Nothobranchius furzeri: one gene and its partner. The protein of the gene in region 2 interacts with the protein of the main gene of each other region in a biochemical or structural test. Links are inferred from orthologs where the notes say so. Each region holds a gene or a part of one and is shown on either strand. Other genes may lie near its edges. The genes, in order: stx5a and uso1.

Region 1 (12,538 bases), on a different chromosome or scaffold from region 2:
CTACCAGCTCACCCCCAATGACCTGCTGGAGCTGCAGGACCTCTGTGCCAAGATCCCTCCAGCACAGTGTGGCCCTGCTATTGTCAGGTAAGACTTGAGTTTTAGCTGTAGTAGCTGATGACGCATACAGTTTCAGGACCAATGAGGCTGATAAATACAAAGTAATGAAAAATAACAAGAGGTGAAGCCCTCAGCATCAGTTTTATGATGAACATTAAAAAAATAAATAAATAAAAGACAAAGCCAGTTCTGAATCACCTGCATGGAACAGGCCTAACATACAACTTTGCAACACAGAATGTGAAAATAAGAATTTAGAGCTCCAGCTATCTCCTTTAACACCCTATAGACAATAATATGCTCAAACCCTCAGGTCATCTCATGAAAGCGTTCAATAACTCAGGACAGAACTTCTTTCAAAAGATGGCTGACAGGATTAGTTCTTCATTTCAGGGATCTTTAATCAGCCCAATCTTTAAAAAAAAATGCTTAAAATGATAGGTTTCATTGTTGGCCCAAAACATTGGGGGATCAAATGTATGTAAAGGGAAATGTCTGATTTCAGTTTATAATAGTTCTATGGTTGATACAAAACATGTTGATGAAGTTCTTTGCAAAAAGTCACGCATAAAACAATTTCAGCAGTTTTACAGTTTCATTGCCTTCCAGAATGGGTGATTTCAAGGCTCTGTCACTTTAAGAAAGCATGCTGGAGCTGGTCACGCCCACCCATGCCCCACTCAGTCTGCTATAGGCAGAGAAGCTCTGATATTCGGGAGGGGCTCAGAGTAGAGTCATGCTCCTCCAGCAGCAGTTCTCTCTTGCACGTGAGAGTTGGTTCCTGAGTAAATTCCCCATTTGTGATGTCACAAATGGGGACCTTTTGAAACTTCTTGTTTTATGAACGATTCCTAAAACCAAACACTGAGAAAAAATGGGTGGACAGGTTTTTTCATGTTTCGAGTGTTTTTGAGGCAGTAGAGAACGATGGCAGCACTAAAGAATCCAAAAGGTGTTTTTTTTTTCACAATATGGCTCCTTTAAAAATATTTCCTGTAAAACAAAAATGCAAATGGAATTTCTGGTTAGATGTCACACGAGTTCTCTAGCATCAGCACCTTGTCAATGTTTAAAGATAGCAACTCCATTCTTTGTGCAAAGTCTTCTCTCAGTCCCATATTTACTTCTGTAAATTTTCCAAACCCATGTCATGACCAACCTTCTCCTTCCACTGCAGGTTCAGGAGGCTGGTGTCTCAGATGGAGCCGGAGGTTCACGAGGTCCCTCGGCTGTTCCGCACCGTGCTACGGGACTGTGTCGATGAGATAAACGAGAATGACAATCTTCAAACTCCCAACACTTTCTTTGAGAAGCAGCAACGCAGCAAGAGCCTGTCTTTTGTTACTTTTCGCACAAAGTTTCGCACTGGTCAGATGTTCAAGGGCAGCGGTTTGAGAGGCTCCAGAGGGAATCTGCAGCAGCAGGTGGACTGGTCCGAGGAGGAGTCGGACGGAGAAGGAGAGGAGGAGGCTATCAAGGCTAGGGCCAGGAAGGGAAGGAGCAAGAGCATGCCAGAGATCACCCCAATGGAGCAGAGTGCTCATGGCTGAGGAAGCAGATAGAAGGTTCAGAAGGACTGGTGTAGAAAAGTAGGCACGGAGGAAACAACGTGAGTCTGAACTGGTGATAGTGAAAATAATCACAAATGAAAAGAAAAGGGGTAAGGAATTGTCAGAGAAATAAAAATTAATTTTAAAAAACTTTCACTTCTGCGTCATCTATAGCTTTTTGTGAACATGAGGGAAGTATTTAAGAGATTTCATAATCATTAGTTTAACTCTACCTGCTTACGAACTTTAGTGAAACTGGTATTAAGATTAATTAGAGCTGATGGTTAAGGACAGTTTTAACCTTGCAGCAATCCTCTGGGTAGCAGGCTATGACACACTGACAGTAATCAAATTTAGATGATCTCCTACGTTCATCACCACGTTAAATAGCAGCTGTTAAAAAAACAAAATGGTTCCGTTTTAGTTTTTCAAGTTTAAATGGAGGTTTAGACAAGCTGACTTGACTTTGACCTGATAAAAGTACAAAATATAAAATGTTTAGATCAAACTGGGTGCTACTACATTTCTTGTTATATCCATAAAGGAGAGTAGCTGCTGTAGATTCAAAACAAAGAGACCCTGATGGGACAGGACCACAGATCTACAAACAAATCAAACATTAGATGCAGTCTCCTACTAAAGATCCCACAAACTGTTCCTTTATATTCTGTTACCGATGCAGACTGGTCTCCACCACAAAAGGGAAACAGTTTCTTCAGCAGCCGCCGTTCAGGTTAATGAAAAGCTGCTCTCCTTCAGATCTCTGCAACGTAAATCATGTCAGTTGCATGTTTTTTTTTATTTTAAATATACATGTCTGTTTGAGAAAATATACAATGTTCTAATCCTTTCTGATTAAAGCATTGCATTTTCTTAATAGTGTCTGTTTTACTTTGAAAATGGGTGCATGTTTGAAACATTTAAGGTGAAAAACTGGATTGCACAGAAGATAAACATTTCCAATTCAATATTTCTCTAACATTGAAACATGAATGGATCCCAGTGATAAACTACTTTTTAGCATAACCAAAAACCTTTGGTTAAAAGAATTTTGGTACAAAATACATCAAATAAAAATGCCTCGACCTGAAGGATGAGTGCTGACTAGCTGAAAAAAAAATCATATTTAAATAAACCAGTCCCTTCATTCAACCAGATTTACCTTAGATTGGTTCAACTGCATAACTTAGGCTCTATTCTGCTTTCTAATAAATCAGATTACTTAAATGTTTTACATAATGTATTTTGTTGAGTACTTGAGTGAAAATACAAGTAATCTCTTTGTGAGGATATGATTAACCAGCATTCTAATCCCAAAAAGACATTAAACATCAGTGCCAGCATCCCATTATTTTATTAATGCACTCTTTTCCAATACATCATAACTATTTGCACTTTATACAATGAAGTCAAGGCATTTGGCTAAAAACATGGGAAAACAGGAACCATTTCTTTTTGTTGTAATGGTCAGTTAAATAACACTAATCTGAAGAGGTGGGGAACTTTAACAGACACTTCCAGGGTATCTGTTCATTATTGGGTTGTCTCCAACCAGAAAAACCCCTTCATTAGCGCTGATCCTCTCTGAGGCATTGCACCGGGGACTTTTAAACCCCTGAACCTGACGGCTGCTGGCCAGACAGCTTCAATTAAAATAACAACTATAATATAACTACACTTTGTAGGACTCCTGCCTAAAACTTCAGCTTGGATGGCTCAAACTGCTTTCTTGAGCATCTTAGTTTTATGTCACAGTTCAGTAAGTCTACCCATTTGGCAAATTAACTTAGAAAGCAAAACTGGAACTAAAACAAAATCACATAAATGAATGCTGTTGAATTAAGTAATGCCGATTAATGAAACAAAGTCATTCAGTTGTAATGAGAAGTAGAAACACAATAGAGTAGACTTCCATTCTATTGTTTGGCTTTGGAATAATAAAGTGAAGGGGTAAACAAAACAAATTTAAGACAGTTTGCAGAATCAAACCATTAACTTACAGCCATTTTGAGTAAATGTAAATCTTGGTGAAAGTACAAAGCAGAGCTTCCTTCTGCTCAGTAACCAACAGAAGATGTTTATTATTTTGACAGAGTTCAACCTCTTTATTCCTCATTAAGCTGTAGAATCAAGAGTCTGTAGCTTGGAAGTGAGTGAAAAGTCTGTGTGATTCTAAATCCCAGCCTTTAATAAACCGTTGTGGAGAACTTCATCCTTCCATTATGTCGTGCAACCTGGTCCAACTTTAGCTTCTATGTGCTTTTTCCTCCATTTAGCTGGTCCTCTTCACTTGCTTTACTTTTTCAAGCGAAGAAGACAACAAAGATGATAAAGAAAACAGCGAGAACAAGAAAGATCTTAATCATCAGCCAGCGGTTGGAGGAGACGGACTGGAAGTACTTGAGGATTTCTGTGTGAGCTGACTCAACGTTCATCTGGGCATCGTCCACGTTAGCATCAATCCTGCAAGAGGACAACAGGAAGTGAGCTACAGCTGTCATTGCTCACATCTGGTTTCTTTTTTTAAAGAGGTCCTTCACTTAGAAACTATTTTTTACTTATTTTTGAAAGTTGGCCACTGAGTTTAACATTCAGGCAGCATGTCTCCTGCCTTAGCTTCTAATAGAAAATACTGTGAAAATCGAGGATTTGAAAACCTGACAGATCTACGTCGCACCGTCACTTAACATCCATGGACTCATCTATCTTGGCTCGTGACAGGGAAGGCTGCTGTTTTAGCTTCCAGCGAACAGCAGACAACATAATGGCTAGTAGAAGCTAACCATTAGCATTAGCAACTCCACCACACAGCAGAACTCCTCCAGGCTTGTGTTATTTGTGGAGGGACAGCATCAATGTAGTAAAGCAAATGGAGTCAGTGGTAGAGTCATGTTGCTGTTAGCCAATCAGAGGCGAGATGTCCAAATATCAGGACATAAGACTCCAAATCCTGCTGTCTCAAGCTACTTTTTCCTGTGGTTTAATTCTCTGTGCTGAAACAGATGCACCAGTTTTTTTCTCTCTAGAGTATGACTTAGAAGGCCTTCACTCCTGCAATAGGCCACTGCCAATGTACTGAAAATATGAGTGAAGGACAGTTAAACCAAAAGCAGGGCACATATGGCAATAACTTGAAACCACTTCTTTTAACACAAATCTATTTTGCCATACATACACTGAAGGGCAATTATAAATATATATACACGTGTGTGTGTGTGTGTGTTAAGACTGAGCATCTCACAAATTTCCTTTATTTACTGTAATCTTCTCAGCTGACCAAAATGGACGTGTACAACATATTCTTGTACTAGGTGATTTCAGTGGCCATTTTCCTACTTGTACTCCACCTTTGTATGGTCTCTTCTTGTTCTTTAACCATGTGTGCCAGCTGCTGGAATATAGAACCCAGTTCCACGATGGTGCTCTCAATGTTCTGCATTGTATCTGCACGGCTCTGGATGTACGAGTCCTAGAACACCAAACATTTTTTCAAGTGTTAAGGAGTGTTCTGTATAATACAACACTGCCCATTTACTGGTTGTAGGTTAACAGCGATGTGTCTGATTGCCAAATGTCAGCAGTGCTACCTGCTCATCAATAAGCTGGAGCTGCAGAGGGTTGCTCTGAGAGTCCATGTTGATGGCCACATCTCCCATGCTCCGGGACTCGTCCTGCATCAGAACAGAGCTCTCTGAAAGAAACAAGAGGGTAAAACAAACCCATGATCAACGAAATTGGAATAAATCTCTGAATGTTGCAGGGGAAGGCATAAAAAAATCAGCAGGTATATACAGTAGCGATTCATACCCGCTGGGAGAGTCAGACATTCCAGGGAAATACCTTTTAAATTTGTGGTTGTATAGCCCTGGTAGTCATTGCGCGGCTCGCGAGCTGCTTGCGGCTCCTGGGCCCCTTTTTTGCGGCTCCCTAAAATATTTTTTAATTTTTGCATTACAGAGGACCAAATACAATAATAATCAATCACAAGGACTTTGAGCAGTTCCCTACAGCAACAGCTGTTGGTTTCAACACAAGAACACTGGCAGTCAAAGGCTCTCCACAACTTGTAAAGAAACGTGGGTAACACTTTACAATAAGGGTCCCTTTATTAACGTTACTTAGAGCACTATTAAGCTTTAATAAATAAAGAATCCCTTTATTAACGTTCCCGATATTGCTAACTATTAAGTGTCCTTAAGGTTGAGACAAAGGGCTGGGGGGGCTGCTTAGTGATGCATTATTTAATAAGAACATTAAGCAGTTAACATTTTATTTAATAGTTTATTAATGCTTAATAATGCACCAAGTAACATTAATAGAGACCTTTACTGTAAAGTGCTACCGAAACGTGAAGCAGCATGCGGACAGAAAGATCTACTTTATGAATACTTCATTAAATATGTATTCTGATAAATTTACAGTAGAGATAAGTGAAAGGGTACAAGTATTGTAAATGAATTATGGGTTCAGGGCTCTGTTTAGATACATTATTTTAATGATTTTTAAACAAAAAAGAAGAATTGATGCGTGAATAAAAGGCAGAAGGACTAAGTGGATCAAGTGGTTAGAGAGCAGGACATTTCCAGAAATAGAAATTATTACAAACACATCATGTTCAATCTTTAAATGTATTTATGAGCAGTTGCATCAGCTTCAGCCAGAAATGCTTATAAACAATTGCTGTTTTTATTGGTAGAGTAGATTCATGCAAAGGAAGCATCAGAGCCCCCAGCACCCTTCAGATAACCCCTGCATGTGGAGCAGGGGACGGACAGTAGCACCTACAAGTGGAACAAATTAGACTAGTGTTTGTAGCTTTCACCACTAAAACTCCAAAACTAAAGGCATCTATATTAGTTTTAAATGTGTTGTTGACGGTTGTTTGCTCAAATAACATAAGCCGTTTAAACATTTTGCCTGAATCTTGGGTGGGATTTCTCCCACAAACTTCATTCGTGTTGGATGAGCGTGTCACCATTAAGCTACACCAGCATGCAACATTCACTTGTCATCAGTTTTAAAAAGTGATCATGGCAAAATATTGTTATATTTAGTGACTGAAAGCATGAATCCAAGAAGGGACAGAGACTTACTGAAGTTGTTGGCCATCATAGGAGAAGAGGAGACGGGGGGCTGGGAGAACTGCTCTCTCCTGCTGCGCTGCTGCTTCAGGTTCTACACAGGAGACGTACGACGACGCAGAATTAAATTACATTAAAAACTCCCATTCTAGAACACCAGTACTAGTGTTTTCTGCTCGTAATAACATGGAAACATTCTCACCTCAGTTCTGATTTCTAAGACTGATTTGAAGTCATTTGACATTGATGCCAGTTTGGACTGCAGATAGAAACATAAAAAAACAAGTCCATCATTCAGCTGAAAGCACATCTAAAGAAGCATAGCACGTAATAAATACAAGCGATGAAAACTTTTTATCTGATATTTTAAAGGACCTGTATCATGCCATTTTAGACCTTCCAATGCAATGGTAGGCGGGGTTTTTCCTGCGTTCAAATTTGTGCGGCGGCCGCCTCCAGCTATTTTTCTGCCGCCCCATCCTGATTTCACTCTGCCCCCAGCTATATGGATGTTATTTTAACATCCATGTTGAGTGGAGAGGACGCAGAGCGCTGATCGTTGGTGCGCCCGCTGCGTCCACCACACGATACATTTTCAAGGTGGCACAACAAAACTATTATTAACACATGATTATTCATATCTGTTTATATCCTCTGGTACTCTGTCTTTTAATCGTTCCTGACACGCTCCGCTCATCCTGTGCTGCGGTGATTTCACCTCACTGACGCAGCATCAAAATGCGCACTACGCTTTGCGGTCAGGAGATCCCTTTGATCTGTTCAAAAGTAACTGATGAGGTGAAAAAGTAAGAAGCCAGACAGCAGCTTTTCTAGAGAATTTAGAGGAGATGCAGGAAGATGAGAGACAGACAGGACAGGACAATAGTCAAATAAAAACAAGAAAACAAAGCTTGAAAGTAAAACGTACGTAGATTTATCTCCACTACACGTTTTTACCAGTATAAAACAATAAGTTATCCACATGTAATATTTGTACATCTGATACAATTCAGATCACCTTCAAAACTCAGTCACACGCCCAGGGCCGTTTCAAGGCATTTTGGGGGCCAAGGCAAAACGGAACACCCCCTAACCCTAACCCGTACATAATAGACATGCCACCATTACATTGTTAGCAGCAGAAATTAAATGTTATTACCATTTCCAATACAAATGCATGTTAATGAAATGCATTATATTTTACTGGATATATTTGTGTTATTTTGACTAAGATGAGTGTTATTAATACAAACCTAAAATGTTACTGAAATATAGGTCATATTTAAAAATATTTTTAACTATAAATATCAGATGGGAAAAAGGAAACTAAACACTAATCTAAAATTATTGAGCCTTTTATAATATTTTGCCTTTAAAAAGTGAGGCAGTTGAATGCACAGAGTATGCATGTGCTGGCACATGGTCAGGGTGGTACCACCTCTGCCTCAATTTGAGGCAGGAAAAACCCTGGTAGGTATGATGAAACATTACCGTTAGCACTATCGAGATGTTTTTTTTTATAAAGTACAAGTTATTTTTGTGAGCCATTACTTCAACCCAGAAATAAGAGGCTCAGATTAAATCAAACCCTGCTTCCTGCAATGTGAATTTCAAATTAGCACACAGCTGCAGACTTGGAGACCAGAGGTTCAAGCTGACATGTGCAACTCAATGACTGCATTATTTAAAGTGCAGACTAGACAGGAAAGAAATCACAACTGTGGAGATTAAAGTCTCTGCTAGCTACATGGAGAGACTGGGTGTTAGTGTTTACAGTCCAGGGGAGGAGGGATGCAGACTCAAAACCACCTAGATGAGGATAATAAAGTCGTGACATAGCAATAACCCACCCAGCAGCATGAAACAGCTTAGCAAAAAGTTGCAGAGCTAAAGGAAAGAAAATGCTTCGACATAAAAATGCATGCACACATGCATAAAAATAAATAAATTTGGGTTGTTTTTCATGAGGAAGTAATATAACATGGTCAAAACCCTCAAAAAGTAGATTTTGCATGATATAAGACCTTAAAATAAGTTTTTTAAACCATTATTTTGAACAAATATGAAATATACCATATGCAGATCAGATATTACAAATACACAAAATGTACCTGTAATGAGACCACTATAGTGTTGGAATGGGTCTGGATGTGTCGGCCACCAGGAGCACTGCGGGACCTGATCAAGTCCTGCAGCTGTGCAATCTGTTTGTTTAGGCTGTTGATATCCTTTGGACAGAAGAACATATGAAAAAGTCAGTATTTTAATAAACAAAAACTGATATTTTTAATACACATTTATAAACCTCACACCTGCTGGAGAGCAACTTCAACCTACCTGTTTAATGATGTAGGTTAGCTCCTCAATCTCCACTGCCTTGTCATCAAATAAAGATTTCTTTTTGGCCACTGAAATAACAAAGCAATAGCACGCAAAAATCAGCACTTCGGAAAACAAAATATTTATTTCTGCAGAAATGACAAAACCATCACTTACAAATTGTGAGTTTTTCCAATTTGGCAAATGTATTGCTTAAGTCTTTCCCAATCCTCCTGCAAAGAAACAAGCAGATGAAACTTACTTTTGGTTCTCAGTGTTTCCCCTAGAAATTTTTCTAGCTGTGGTGGTTGTGGTGGTGGGTGGGGATTATGACACGTCTCACCTTTATGTTAATATTGTTTTATTTGATGCACTCCACTTTGAACTGCACCAATCCAGCAACTGCTGCATTTTAATAACTAGTATTAAAAGGTGAATACACCAATATTTGCACAAAAATAATTTTTGTTTTAAACTCTCAGTGACACACTTTGCAGGGGGGATTTGGCATTTAATTTTTCTTGGCGTCTGGAAAAACATCTCCTTTTGCCCCCCTTTATTTGACTTTCTGCCCCCTTTATTTTGGTCCGAGATCATTACTGGGCTGGCCCTATTAAAAACGTTCTACACCCCTGCTTAGTCGACTTAATGAAGTATTTTTAAGTCAGTATAAAAATGACTGAAACACAAATTTACATATTTGGCATTATTGACCAATATCTTTGATTTAATTTATTTGTTAAGAACATCAAGATGCGTTACAGTGATCATTATAATGAAGCACATTTTTCTAGTGCAGAGAGGAGACAACCCATAGAAGCACTGATTTGATCTCATTTCAGAGAAAAATAGAACAGGTCAGATGCACCTAATAAATAAAATTACTAGCATAAACTCAGGAATCGGTTTCTTTGCTTCATTGTTCTGGTGCTGAAAATATCACTAATGTCAAAGGAGATACACAGATGAATGCAACTCCTACTTATTATTTGGAAATTAGTGGGTGTGGTTTACATCAATACATTATTTTAAATCTGAAATTGATATGGATTGATCAGAAGTTGCTATGTGTGTTTATTTGAAAACTATTTACAGAGCAGCCTCAGAATTTAGATTAAATATTTTTGACCACAATAGTAAAGGAACTATTAAAGAACAAGTTTTTCAGTAAAATCAGAACATTAATATTTAAGTATATGAGTTAATACATCTAAACTCATGCAGTAGGAACTACTGACCCCAATTGAAATACTAGAACAATTAAAATACTAGAACCAGACAAACCTTTTTAATGTTTTTATTTTAATTTGATTAAACTGATTTTTTCCTAACGTTGTTGGCATTTTCCCCACACAAAGTTAAACAAAACAATGTTGATTAAGGTGTGTGTGTATGAGAGAGAGACAGAGAGAGAGAGAAAGTTAAAATAATTTTAAAAAACCCGACCGGAGATGAGGCAGTGACCGACGCAGCATGAGCCGTTTTCAGCTCTGTCTTGTCAAATGCACCACGTATGTTACGGAAAAGGTAACTTTAAATATTCAACCGAAAAAGAGGCGAGCTGAAGAAAACCTAGGGAGTACTGAAGAAACGTGAGCAACAGTGAAGCAATCACAGAGAGATCCGTTACTGTCTGTGTGTGTGCGTGGATGCCTGGGCCGGACTGAGCTCCCGGCTGCAGAGTTTTGTGTGTAGGGAGGGGCGGACGCTCTATGTGACTGGCCAATCACGGAGCATGAAGACAGTTACCCAATGGGTATTTTCTTTCAGCACGATTACAGATATTTATGAGTTTTACTCGTTTCATGCTCGTATTCATCAAAAATGCTTTATCCGCCCTATCTGTAACCACCCTGCCCTGCCTCCTCCTCCTTGCTGCCTGCCGGCTTTCATCACAAGCAACAACAGAGTAGTTCCCGCTGCTTCTTCGGGAAATGGCACAAAGAAAAAAAAAATCAATTAAACTTGGGATCTTGTAGGCGTGGCGCTGGGATTTCAGCCGTGGCGGGCCGCCACCTATGCCTGTGTAAGGGAAACACTGGGTTCTGCTTCATTAACACGTGTTAGAATAAAACCTCGGGGGGTGGACTACTGGCGGTTGTGAGTGGGGTCCCTTGGGGGTCTTGGCGGAGGCCATGGGTCGCTGCCTGGCAGCTGCATTGCCCCTGAGCAGGTCTGGGTGGGGGCCTGGGGGCTCAGGGTGTGGCCGGCCTGGTGTGGGGATCTGGGCGGGGCCTTGGGGGTCGGGTCCTGACATGTATGCTGCCGGGAAGAAGGCAGGAACATGCGGCAGTGCCTGTCCCGGGTTCAGGGGCCTCAGGTAGACCTCGGCTCCTCTGCTGTTCCATCACAGGGGAGGGGGATGTCCAGGAGGGGGAGGACCCAACCTTACCTCAATGTCCAATGTCTTATATATTCTGGGAGTTGTGCAAATGCAGGGATGTGATGCTGCTCCTTTGGTTCCCTGGCAAGATGGGCTGGGGTCTCCATGTCCTGGGTGACATTTTGGCAACAGAGGTGCCTATCGGGGCCAGTGGGGGAGCTGGCTCCCCCACTATCGGGGCCAGTGGGGGAGCTGGCTCCCTGGAGGGCTTAAGTCCAACCAGCAATTCCTCCCCATCCCCACACATTTTTCTCCTCCTGCTCCCTCACATCATCACACAATCATGCACATAGGACCTTGGAGGGTGGACAAGTCAGGGGGTGCAGGTATGGACCCCATTTCCGCATTCCTGTGGCAACCTGCCCCCCAATTTTACTTGCACCTTACTTCCACCAACGACATTCCACGCAAGCACACACTTAGGGCCTTGGGAGTGAGCACATTCAACGGCATTTGGCAGGGGGATTTTTCAGCCTCATCCCGAGTGCCAGTGACCACTTCCAATTTTAAACAGCACTTAGACACTGAGGGCTGTGGGTGCAAGTGGGGTAGTGTGGTGGCATCAGCTGGCATAGGCCAGACGATGCCCGCACTGGAACTTGGGCACGTTCAACACATGTCTTAAGGCTGTGGTTGGCACTAAATGCACTATAATTTATTATCGTGTGATTGTTCAATAAAACAATGTTGATTTTACATTTCTTCATCAAGTTGAAACAGTGATAGCTTGCTCCTGTTGTATTGTTGTGTGTGTCCCTTTTCTGCAGGTCTAGAAGCAGACTCTTGTTCATCATTGATCGTTTATTTTCGTGGACCCCCCCCCCTCCCCTTTTGTATCTTCCTTTCTCTTTCACCTCTGTCTCCGTGTCCGGTCGAAATTACAAAGCATTCGAAAAACATTAACAATAAAGTTTTAAGTATCAGACATGACATTAAAAGCAGAAGCTTTGATGCTCCACCTGAGAGTAAAATCTGTAAGGCTTGTCTCCAGCATTCAGACATTAATTCTGTTTGCTTCACAGCCAGACAGGACAGGAGAAAAAAAAAAAAGAATAAAAAATAATTTTTATCTCAACCACTCTTGAGAGTTTTAAGACAGGTTAAGAATCATCTGGAACACTCAAAACTAAAGTAGCTGTGGTATC
Region 2 (11,831 bases):
TTTCAGAAGCACTTCTCTCATTCTGTGGTCACAAGATTCAGATTCTGAATAAGTCACCATAGCTAGGTTTCAGATTCAGAGAGAACTTTATTAAACTCTAGGGAAGGTTCCTCTGCAAAATTCACACTGTTTATGGCTTGAGTCAGTATAAAAACCAGTTGTGTGCCTCATACTAACTGTTAGGTGATATCATGTATGGGTGAAACTTAATCAGAATATTGTACAAAAGTTTATTTATTTCAGTAATACAAGCTATACAATGAAACTAATGTATGACATGGACGTAAAAGGGAGATGTTTCAAGCCTTTATTATAACTCTGTTAAATTTCTCACTTTTGTGGCGGTCACACTTTATAGCGTGACGACTGCAAATTAATTATGACCAATAAGATGTGATGATTCCATATGAATAAGAAATATCAATCTGATTGATCTTTGAATGTTTAATCAGAGGATTATAGTTACTTTTACTCGTTCAGGGACCATAAACACACTTCGTATTAATTCAGACAGAGTCAAGTTAAAAGGGAATTTTATTCTTTTCTAAACTAATGATTATACGTGACAAGATATGAATAATGAGATGTGATGGAGTGGATATGTGGTGATGAAATGTGACGTGTAGGGGTGTGATATAACCTAGATGTTTATCAGAACCGTTGTATTTGAAATTGTGAAATCTGGGTGAAAAATAATTTGTTGTCCACTATAAACTAGAGAGTTGATTATTAATAAAACAGCTTCAGACGCAATCTGTTGTGTCTACAAACCCTGGCGGAGACCCCCAGCAGATCCGGACTGTCAGAAGTCGGGTGGACCTCACAGCACCGGGATTTCGTAGATTAAACTCCGATACGACCGTCCAGTCTCGAGATGTCTCCAGGTCACAACAGTAGCTGGAATGCTCTCTACGTCTAAAGTGGATGTAGCTCTTAATAATAATAATAATAATGCATTGAACTTATATAGCGCTTTTCTAGACACCCAAAGACGCTTTCATACACACTCACATTCACACACTGCTAGTGATGGTAAGCTACTTGTAGCCAGAGCCGCCCTGGGGAGGTCTGACAGAGGCGAGGCTGCCATTTGGTGCCGTCGGCCCCTCTGACCACCACTAACACAGGCAAGTTGGGTGAAGTGTCTTGCCCAAGGACACAACAGCAGGATACCCCTGGCGGGAGCTGGAATCGTACCCATGACCCTCCGATCATGAGGCAATCCGCTCTACCACCTGAGCTACAGCTGCCCCACTGGCTCTTAGGGAGCCATCTGGCTGTCAGCTTGCAGCGTGCAAACAGGTTCTGACGGTATGTCAAAAGAGATGTCTCAAGGATGCTTGTTCCGAATTGGCCGGTTCGGAACTCCGCTAGAAACTGAATTACTCGGGAAGTATTTCCTGTTTTATTAAACTACTTTATGATTTCTGGCGTATTCTGGCAAATCAGAATGTGTCATGTCTGGAAGGCTTTACCAAAACATTCCTCAGAAAGCCACGCCTTCCTTCAGATACAAAAATGTTTTTAACCTTGTATCTTATTGTAATGTGTATGAGTGTAAACAACGATTAACTTGTTAAATCAAACAGTGATTTGTGATATAAATGGATCATTGTAAGAACAATATTCATTTCAAATTCATCAATTTAAGCACAGGTTTTTCAAACATTTAAATATCTTGTTCATTCATATGATTATTTAACTTATAAGTTGTAAAGCCTCATAGGATTCGTGTGGATTCACTTTTATTCAAAGTGAAGAATCCAGCTGTCTGACTTTTAGCAGAGAGATAAGGCTTTAGCGGGAGACCTCAACAGTTTACGACTGCATTGAAGAACAATAAGTGAGCGAAAGGTTGATCTGTGCATCTGGACCCTCCAGCTGGCGTAACCTTGACTTTGCAGCTCTGACGTGCATGAAAGTTTACAGTCAATTCTATGGTGAAAACTGACCCTTTTGATACATCACACTTTTTTCCACCTCAAATTTATATTCCTGGAATCAAATTATGATGTATGTGGCTTTCATCCACAGAGGTGAGGCAGCAAGAACCAAAAAGACACCTTTATTTTCACAGTTAAATCAGACTTTTCTAAAACTTGGCAGCTTCTGAAAATTGAAGCACAAATAACCAGTTTATCAGCACAATCTGCTGCCGTCACCTAAAGCTGCACCTGGACATCAGTTTGGCCCTGGCACCACCAAACGAGACTGAAACATGCAGATCTTGCTGTTATTTGCATACATCCTGTAGGATTTGTTTAGCGTATTACTGAGCTGCTCACTGTGGAGACCATGGACAGCTCCTTCAGAGGCAGACTGGCAAATCCCAGATTTAAAACAGAATGCTACCTTAGATCATTCATCCCCTCTGTAGTAAGACTGTATAACTCCTCAGTTGAACTGGTACTGGCATTATACTGGTGCACAATAACATCAATGCAATACTCTGTACGAGGTCAGTTCCAGATTTACATAGTATGTCTGTGTTATGCTGCGTAGTTCTGGAACCTAAGTTTCATTTTGGTTTTTCAGTGGTTGAAGGTTACAATAATATTTGACTGCCTATGTGTTTATACCATCGACATAAATATACACGCGCACTTTTATAATTTTTCTGAAGAGTTTGTGCTGCAGTACCAAGTGAAATTTCCCACTGTGGGATCAAGTCTATTCTATTCTAGCCGTTTTTTCCATCTCAGGTCTGCACGAAACCCCCTGAACAAAATACTCTACATAAGAAACTCCAGCCACACGAGGAAAGTCTCATGTAGAATGAACTGTGGCAGAAACCAAACAGCTACAAATTAAACGTTAATGTTATTGAGAACATAAACTCAGGTGTTTGTTGCCTCCTAGTGGTGAGGAGCAGCCGTTACAAGAAGCTTCACACGCTTTAGTAGAACTACTTGTACACATTTACTTACTAATGGAGTTTTATTTTTGTCATTTTAAATTTGCTCCAAATTTCTTTAAGAATATTTCCAAATAAAAGTCTGATTAAATATTTATAATAAATATTTACATATTTTAATCCAAAGCAGATAAGACCAAAACATTTTATTGTGGATTTATTAAAATGTACCTACATTTTTTTCCTCCATATGGCATACAGATAGATTTTTTATTCATTTCAAGGTTTTTCTTTAAACTCATAAGTTACAGAATATCATACAGAAGCTTAATGCCAGAACTGGGTCAAAAGGGGTTGCAAAAATACATCTTAGCATGTTTTTTTATGTCGTCAGTGTTTTGCAGCATGTTGCAGAGCAGTCGTGTTGAGCCGTCGAGGTGAAAGGAAAGAGCTCCGTAATACTAACCTTGTACTGGGCGTGGAGGCGGATGAATCCAGGGTGGAGCACAGAGAAGAGTTGTGAGCAGAACGCAGGAGAGACGCTCACAAAACACTAAATTAATAATCATCTTTTATCGCTACGTTTTAAATCCCTCCTCTTTAGATTTCCCAGATTAGACTGTGCATTAAAAACAACTAAAGAACAGAAGACAAGCAGAACTGGTCACAGAGGTTTTGTGGAGATGAACGCACCAACGAGTTTAAATCACTGAAAAACAAACATGAACAAAAACTTTCCGAATGTTAAATATGAGAATGTGATGAGAATTATGAAGACAGCATGGCAGCTTGGTGGAGAACCTGCTGTGATATATATATATATATATTAGTCCTATTCCTCAGTTTCTCAGGCGACTTTCGACAGTCTCTTCTTCTCTCTTGGGAGGCAGATTCACATCACACCTTTCAGTGTTTCTAGTCCTCGTCTTCGTCCTCCTCGTCGGATGTCTGCTCCCTGGCGTCGATGTCATCTTCATCTTCCACCTGCGAGGGAAGAGTCATAGTCTAACTAGAGCAGACAGACAGAACAAGGCTGAGTGGTGTCGGGACGGAGCCCGACTCCGTTAGCTGATCTGGGGTCAGAAACACAACAAGAGCAGTTTTTACCTAACAGAAACTAAAAATGACACTCTGCATGACTGCTGTTGCCATGGTGACCAGAATGAAATGTGAAGATCATTACTGAACCAGAGCCATTCAGGGGATGCTCGCTCAATGATGTAGGATGGATGACAGAACCCATGATGACGGAGGCAAGAGATACTTCAAGCTAGACTTCGATCATTTTTATATCATTTAGTTTAAAAACTAAATCTGAAGCCCTGAAGACAAAACCTCGCCACTAAGGGTGGGTTGTTTCTGTACCGGCTCTCCCAGGTCTTTGAGTCTCTGTTTCAGGCCGTGGATTTTCTGGTCCTGGTCTGCCAGCAGCATCAGCAGGTCATCCTGCTCCTTCTTGGATTCTTGGAGCTCACTCTGCAGCTTCGACTTCTCCGTCTGCAGGATAGCCACGGTGCTCGTGGCAGAAGCCAGCTGCTGCTCCAACCCCGCCTGGCTCTCCTAAAGCGGGAGGAGTTGGTGACGGTGGTTACTGATCAATGTTTATGAACAGAAATCAGATCACTTCACTTAAAACGGATCAATCTAAAACACCTTCAGTCTTTCCGTCTCAGACATCTGTGCTGAGAGCCGGCTCTCCAGTTCTTTGATGGCGTCTGATGTGCCGTCACTAGAGGGCGCTGCGTCAGCGGCCTGAGCGACACCAAGGAGGTTTTAGCTTATTAATTAAAAGTTTCTTTATGTCAGATTAGAGGGATGTTTTAGAATTGTTACCCCTGCTTCAGCTCGTCTCAGCAGCTCCTGTCTCTCAGTCTTCAGCTGGTTGATATCAGCCAACTGGGACTGAACCTGACTCTTTAAAGCTTCCAATTCCTGCAACAAATTCCCACAAGCTGACGTTATAAAGCAAGACATTCTAATGACGTCACAGCAGTCATTATCTTGTTTCGTTTAGCCCAGGGGTCGGCAACCCGCGGCTCTGGAGCCGCATGCGGCTCTTCCATCCATCTGATGCGGCTCTCTGTGCTTGTAAAATAATGAATGGATATTTAAATAAAATGCTTTATACTTTACTGCATTAATTTTACATCTGTATGCCGATTCTAAATGTAAAGATTGTCTGCGTAAACCTGAACATTTCCAACCCGGTCTTACTGTGAGACCGGGTTGACGGGTCACACTTGTGCGTAATCATATCGGCGCTTTCTGAGCTGACGAGGATGTGAGATTCTGGGACTCTCCTCAGACGCCACATTGGAAACAGGAACAAGCACTATTCAGCCAAAGTTTCATAATCAGAGAACATTTTCTAAGTGACAAGTCTCGCTTCAGTCGGAGGAATCTTCCTGCATGCGCTCTGGTTCTGCGACGCGCTCCAAGCTCCTCTCCACATCTTCAGCTCGCTGTGCGCCGTATACGTACGCGCTGACAGCGAGCTGCGCTGAGCAGTGTCCAGCTCAGATGTTCAGATGGGAATCTTTTCTTGGGTGATTTAGCTACATCTGCGATGTGTGAAACGAATAAAGTGTTAGTTCGTCTGCATGCGTCGGGGTAATTCTTTCTCCGTCAAAATAAACGGTCAAATACGGGAACTATCCGGTCAACACAAGCCCTGCTTTTAACTGTTTTGTTTTCTTGTGAAAATTGTTGCAAATAGATATAATTTAACTTGATTAACACCAGAGCCAGGCGCACTGCGCCGTTATCTCCGTCACTGTAAATGAGGGAAAAACAAATTGATCGGATCCTTTTCTGACCTTCCCCACCTACAAAGTTTAATTACAACAATCAAACGTGACAGAGCCTGGATTTGTATTCTGAACAGTCTAAACATGTTTTAAAAAGAAGCATATGACAAAAGTGGCATCTGCTCAGTAAAACCACCAACAGGGTGAAAAATTTCAAAATAAACGGGCTACAACTTCTGGATCCATTTTATATAAATCGTTTTATTGATTATCGTCTTATGAAAGATAGCTTTGACGTACACGAGCAACCGGTACTGGCTGCTGTCACCTGTTGTGAGCAGCTCTCTGCTGTCTGAGGGTAGGCCCCGCCCACAACGCCGCGGCTGCTGTGGCTCCCAGTGTTTTCTTTACTGTGGGAAACGGGTAATAATGGTTCTTTGATGGGAACAGGTTGCCGACCCCTGATTTAGCCACAGAACATTTGGATGGAATTCAGGATGTCTTTGTTGTGCCCAAAATCCAGATGTTAGCATCTCCTTTGACCTGTGAAGAGGGAGCCTCACCTGAAGCAGCTCTGTGTTGGCTGATCCTCCTCCTGAACTCTCAGATGTCTGTGCTGCTGACTTCTATTTTCACACAATAAAGCATCAGTCAGGCCCTCTTTATACATCTGTAGATGCAAGATTACTGCACACATCATCACTAAATGTTATCATTATTCCTGAATCTCTAGAATGAACACACAGGTGATCTGAAACCTGCACTAACCAGGCTGTCGATGAGGGCGTCTTTGTCACCGACTTGTGTCTGAAGAAGTGTGTGTTGCTTGCGGAGCTCCTCCAGCTCCTCCCTGAGCTGAGACAGCTCTTCTGTCTGCAGCCCGTTCACCTGAGAGCCATCTGCCTGAGTGCTGGGCTGACTCTGGCTGTCCTTACCTGAGGAGAAGAACCACAGAGGTGTCTGCTCAGTTAAAACCTCACAGCTGCACTACCACGGGTGACATGAAGGAGCAGTGGCAGCTGTGTGAACTCACCTAGTTTTAGTTTGAGGATGTTGTACTGGTCTTTGTGCTGCTGGATCTGAGACAGCTGCTGGCTGATTGTTGCCTGCATCTGGTCAGTCTGGGTGGTCATGGATGCTACCTGCTCCTTCAGCTCCTGGATCTGAGCATCCTATCATAAAAGAGAAGAAAAACTGTCAGTGCTGAGTTTCTGAACCTAATCACACTGAAGCACTGAAGTCCACTCACCTGCTCTCTGATCAACTCTTTGTACTGAGTTACGATGTTGTCGTGTTGCTCTAATGTCTTCTTCACCTCTTCTTCCTTCTTATCCTCCTCACTGGACTTGTGAACTGCTTTTGTTATCACACCTGTGTAGAGCAGAGAGGAGCACCCTGTAAAATCCCTCTGGATGAGCGGATCCGTCTCCGGACAGGACGACACGTTTCTCACCGACCTTCCAGCTCTTTGACCAGCTTGGTGAACTCGTGGTCAAACAGCATCTGCTCTGGAGACGGGAAGATGGGCTGCGGCTTCAGAGCCGCCCGAGAATACAGTTCGTGTTTGGTGATGAAGCCGAGCTTCTCCACAAAGTTCTCCTTTCCGATGCGCTTCTCGATCAGCTGTTTTAGCTTCTCCCTGAGGAGGGACATGACGACATTACCATGGTGAACAAATCTCTCTACGATGGCTTCTCGTGTATGCCTAAAAATGGCCAAATCAACATGTTTCTATGTGAAACCGATGCAAGATAACTTACTTGGTGTAGTTTTCCAGTGAGTTGTCATTATAATAGATGCAGATACCAAGCAGCAGTGCACACAGGCCCTGCACCAGCCTCTCATCTTCCCCCAGGTTCTCTGAAATCTGAGCTGTCAGCTACAGGAGTCACCCAGTCAAAGATTCATTCAACAAACCTCAGTCAATCATTCTCTCACAGAGTCAGTGCAGCCGAAGACTTGATTTAATGTTATGAGTTTAAATGAAAAGGTTGAGGTTAAAGCTTTAAGCTATCCGAAGGTGAGAGCTGAGACAAAGTCTTATCAGTCAATTTTAAAACTAACTGTGAATATGCTGAAGGATACAAAAGGAACGTTATCCTGATTGTGTAGAAAGTGTGTGACAGCAATGGGACAGTTGCTGATCCAAGTGCACAGCAGCATGAGAAGGCCCACTCTGGTCTGAACTTTACTACCCTGCAGGAAGAAAACAACACAAACAAAAAGCTTAGGAAGACACCCGGTAAAAACATGAAACATTAAATCTTAAAGACCAAGTTCACTTGTTTTTTCCAACATGTTTGGGGTGGGCTCTAGTATAAGTTTTTGCCTTGTGAGTTGATCTCTGTGAAGGAAAAAAAAAATTGGCACTTCTGATTCAGGAAGTAGAAGTTAGCCCGAGCCGAGGGGAACACATCACAGCAGAATTTGGAGTTAGTGTTTAACGACACATAAGCATGTTTTAAATGGCTGCCTTGCGTAGCTTGCGTTGATTTGAAGGGTCATTTTTCCGCGTCCCCCAAAATTAATGCAACTCGTTTAAAAGCCGCAATACACGAGTAGCCAGTAGGGGGAGTTGACAAAACAAGCGAGACACACTCACCATGGCAACTCTGTCTCTAGTTTAGAGGTCTTTCTAACCAGCTACGATACCGCTGCTGTCTTTTTCTGCCGTGAACTCAAAATTACCCAGTTTCTGATCTCTTCTGTTGATGCCATGTTGTTTTGGTTGTGCCCCACAAACCCGGCTCACTACCCGGTCTTACTACTCTACAGTGCCCCCTCGTGGAATCCTCCGTACCACATGCAGTGCCGTGCAGCAGTAAGTGAACAAAGGTTAAAAAGCAAGTATATTCTGGCCATTATTTTCTGATATTTGGACATCTCTCTTCTGATTGGATAACAGCAACATGACTCTACCACTAGCACTCTTTGCTCTGCTACGCTGAGGTTTCATCTCCACAAATAACACAAGCCTGAAGCAGTTCAGCAGTGTGGTAGAGTTGCTAATGCTAATAGTTAGCTTCTACTGCTTCTTCGCCGTTTCTCGGACGCTAAGCCAACAACAGCTTTGCCCATCACGAGCCATGATGACTGAGTCCATGAATCTTCAGAGCCTCAGTCACACCCATCTACTTCCAGACCATAGATCCCCAGAAGAACAAAAAATGGGGCTAAAAACACTATTTTCTAATTCCGCTCGTTTTGTACCATGGATTTCACATGATGCCCGTGAATTTTAAAGACACATTTTGATACCAAGAATGCGTCATTTTCGAACAGGGGAAATGTTATTTTAGGATTTGTGTGAAAATAAGTCCAGGACTACAAATGCGCTTCACGAAAGTGACGTCATCGAACCAGACACGGAGAAAACTGAGGGAAAAGGGCTGTAAGTTCAGCAAACTTCCCTCAGGAGGAAAGAACCAGCATAAATCTGGTCATTCGGTAAGTAGCAGCTACGCTAGGGGAGAGGAGATGTGGTGACGCCACATATGCGACATGCTGATTTCTAGTTTGTAGTCATGCCAATTATGAACTTTTAAAAGCTAATAAATCTCAAAGTACGTGACTGGCGTGGTCGAAACACCCATCGTTAGTTTTCATTTAAATTGCTGTACAGCATATGTGTGATCCAGGGCGTAAGGGAAGGCGGATAAGAAAATAGCGTTTTTAGCCCCGTTGACTTGCATTCATTTTTTCGTTCTTCCGGGGATCCATGAGCCGACCAGAAAGGGAGGAGACTTAGGCTCCCCATTGTGAAGTTGTTTTGGGCTTTTCTAATCCAAGCGTTTTTCAGAAGCTAATGAAGGAAATAGGGGTAGAAGATTATTTTCACGTTTGGCCTGCATGTTAAACTGAGAGTGGATGATCACATTTCAAACATAAGAAGTAAAAATCACTTTCTCATTGAACTTGGTCTTTAAATATTAAAGAGGCTATTTTCGAAAGACCTTAAAACTGGATGCAAGATGTGCAAAATTCAGTCTGGCTGTGCATGGGGGTGAAATAAGAAAAATAAAACAAAAGCACCAGAATGCATCTTCATCAGAAGGAATTTAACAGCAGACTTAAAAAAATAAACAAGCAAAGAAGCAAATTTTAGAAGCTTGAGCTGCTGATGCATTTCTAAAGTTTCGCTAAATGATCGTTATTTGGGCCAAATAGGAATTCTAAATAATCTGATGAAATAAAAACAAAATAAAATTTCAGTTTATAAAAACAAATAATGTTAACGTCATCAGTTAATGTTTTAATTGGCATCAGTATTTAGTAGTTAATTGGTTATAGTTAGTTAATAAAAACATACATATGAAAGTGAGATTAAAAAGAGCATGCAGTCTTCTAATGCTCCATGGCAACAGCACAAACATACTGTTATTTATTTTAACCATCACTCTAAGAACCAATTAAACTTTTTATACCTTTGGATTTCAGCACATGCTAAACAAAATCCACCAAATCTTTTTCAGGCAATGACACAAACAGGAAATATTACGTAAAAATTTAATTTTAAATGTTAAAGATACACCACTCGTCTTGCTGTAACTCATTTTAAGCAGCCATCATAACTGCTTGTGCCAATCAGCTGCAGGAGATGAAAAGAACAAAAAATGATTGTAAAAAGAAGACGCGAGGGCTGGAGGAGAGTCCGAGCTGCAGATTCAATCCGAGATTAAATCAGCTGAATACGGAGATCTGAGCCATGATGGTGAGGGGATGAGGAGAAAAATAAACACTAATAAATCTTATCAGTGTTACTACAGCGACGTACAAAAGCAAATCACCTTTTCAGATTTTGTCTCCAAATGTGACGTAAATGGAGGAAAGGAGGAAAACAAAAAGAAAGAAATAATCACAAGGGTCAAACAGTGGAATGTTTTTGTCAACAACAGCTGACTGACTAGAAGGTTCTGGGTCGAACATCAACAAGATTGTTTGTGCATGGATACATTTTACTGAAAAAGAACAAACAGTGATGATGAAGGACCCTTGTCTGAAAAAAGAAAACCCCGAAATAGCTGCAACACACACTTCCTGAACAGATAGATGAGGCTAAAAGCAACGTTCAGGTTTCAAGCCCAAAGCAGGAGTTGTTATGATATTAGCAAACATCTCTTCTGAACTCCTAAATGAACATTTTAGTGTTTCTCCATCTTCCTAACAAATACTGATAAGCAAGAAGTGTGTCAGAGGTCAAAGCAGGACACTAACATGTTAAGAAGCAAGATCCACCCACAGAAGGGCCACAGAGACCCCTATTACTAATGCCAAGCCAATATAAACCAGGACAAGTGCCACCCAAACACACACACACACACACACACACACACACACACTACAGATGCTCTTTACTTACCCTACGGACGATCTTATCACCCTGTAAAACCGCATCAGTATTAAACCTTTGACAATCTGACTAAGAGCGGTCGTGTTTTGACACAAACCGCTCACTCACACCGCTCGGCAATGTCCGTCAGTGCCGAGCGTCACGTCCTACCTGAGACAGGATGTTGGTGCACTGCTGCAGCAAGGAGACCGGTGGCTTGCCCAGACTGGTGGCCAGTTGGACCCTCAGCAGCTGCTCCTTCTGGGTGAGGTTGTCCTGCAGGGCATGAGCCAAAGCAACGGCGGCACACCAGTTAGAAAGAGAGTCCACCGAGAACAGGCCTCCGCACAGCAGCTGGCCTGCTGAGATGGAGTTAGCTGGACGAGGAAGAAGGACGCCGTTAGACAAAAGCTTGACGACAGGACGCTCCAGGATGTGACGCTGTCCTCACCATCGATGGTGGAGGGCAGCAGGGTTGACACGATCTCCCCCTGGCCTTTCTGATTTCGGTAAAGGAAACACTGGAAGCAGTAAAGGACAGCACAGCGGAGCACGAACGGCTGCCTCTCGTTCACCATGGACATGAGCAGCACCACGATGGCCGGTCTGAGGAGACAGGAAGTGGACGGATCGCACACAGAGTTCATGAAATCCTTTCTGATTGGGATATTCACCAAATCAGACAAGTTACCTTGGTGGGTTTGAAGGAGCGTTGACTGAAGCAAAGTAGTCCTGATTGACCTGTGACCCCCTGATGACCTCTGAAACCGTGTTGATGGTCTGAAAGACAACAGATCAGATTTGTGTGGAGCAAGATAAAAATACATGACTGGTTTAGAGATGTCGCTGGGCTCACCTCAGTGAGGATGTCAGCAGGAACGCCGGTGGCCATGAGGATGGT

The links.
Region 1: the proteins of uso1 (region 2) and stx5a form a complex in vitro, tested with the Homo sapiens proteins (2 studies listed by BioGRID). The link is inferred for Nothobranchius furzeri from reciprocal best matches to the Homo sapiens genes USO1 and STX5.

What each region holds. Positions count from the first base shown.
Region 1 is NC_091741.1:87,972,543-87,985,080, reverse strand, and holds the end of stx5a (syntaxin-5a), read right to left. Parts: intron 9,244-12,538; coding exon 9,188-9,243; intron 9,100-9,187; coding exon 9,029-9,099; intron 8,920-9,028; coding exon 8,803-8,919; intron 6,951-8,802; coding exon 6,894-6,950; intron 6,786-6,893; coding exon 6,704-6,785; intron 5,538-6,703; coding exon 5,451-5,537; intron 5,302-5,450; coding exon 5,198-5,301; intron 5,080-5,197; coding exon 4,958-5,079; intron 4,074-4,957; coding exon 3,914-4,073; 3' UTR 3,562-3,913; downstream 1-3,561. Other genes in the region: zgc:162144 (protein RD3), read left to right, coding at 1-87, 1,238-1,610. UniProt on the Homo sapiens protein: Mediates endoplasmic reticulum to Golgi transport.
Region 2 is NC_091744.1:13,152,168-13,163,998, reverse strand, and holds the end of uso1 (general vesicular transport factor p115), read right to left. Parts: coding exon 11,787-11,831; intron 11,711-11,786; coding exon 11,622-11,710; intron 11,537-11,621; coding exon 11,382-11,536; intron 11,308-11,381; coding exon 11,102-11,307; intron 10,982-11,101; coding exon 10,961-10,981; intron 10,404-10,960; coding exon 10,389-10,403; intron 7,798-10,388; coding exon 7,687-7,797; intron 7,481-7,686; coding exon 7,362-7,480; intron 7,241-7,361; coding exon 7,059-7,240; intron 6,973-7,058; coding exon 6,851-6,972; intron 6,774-6,850; coding exon 6,635-6,773; intron 6,537-6,634; coding exon 6,370-6,536; intron 6,228-6,369; coding exon 6,165-6,227; intron 4,787-6,164; coding exon 4,688-4,786; intron 4,607-4,687; coding exon 4,508-4,606; intron 4,415-4,507; coding exon 4,220-4,414; intron 3,839-4,219; coding exon 3,770-3,838; 3' UTR 3,540-3,769; downstream 1-3,539. UniProt on the Homo sapiens protein: General vesicular transport factor required for intercisternal transport in the Golgi stack; it is required for transcytotic fusion and/or subsequent binding of the vesicles to the target membrane.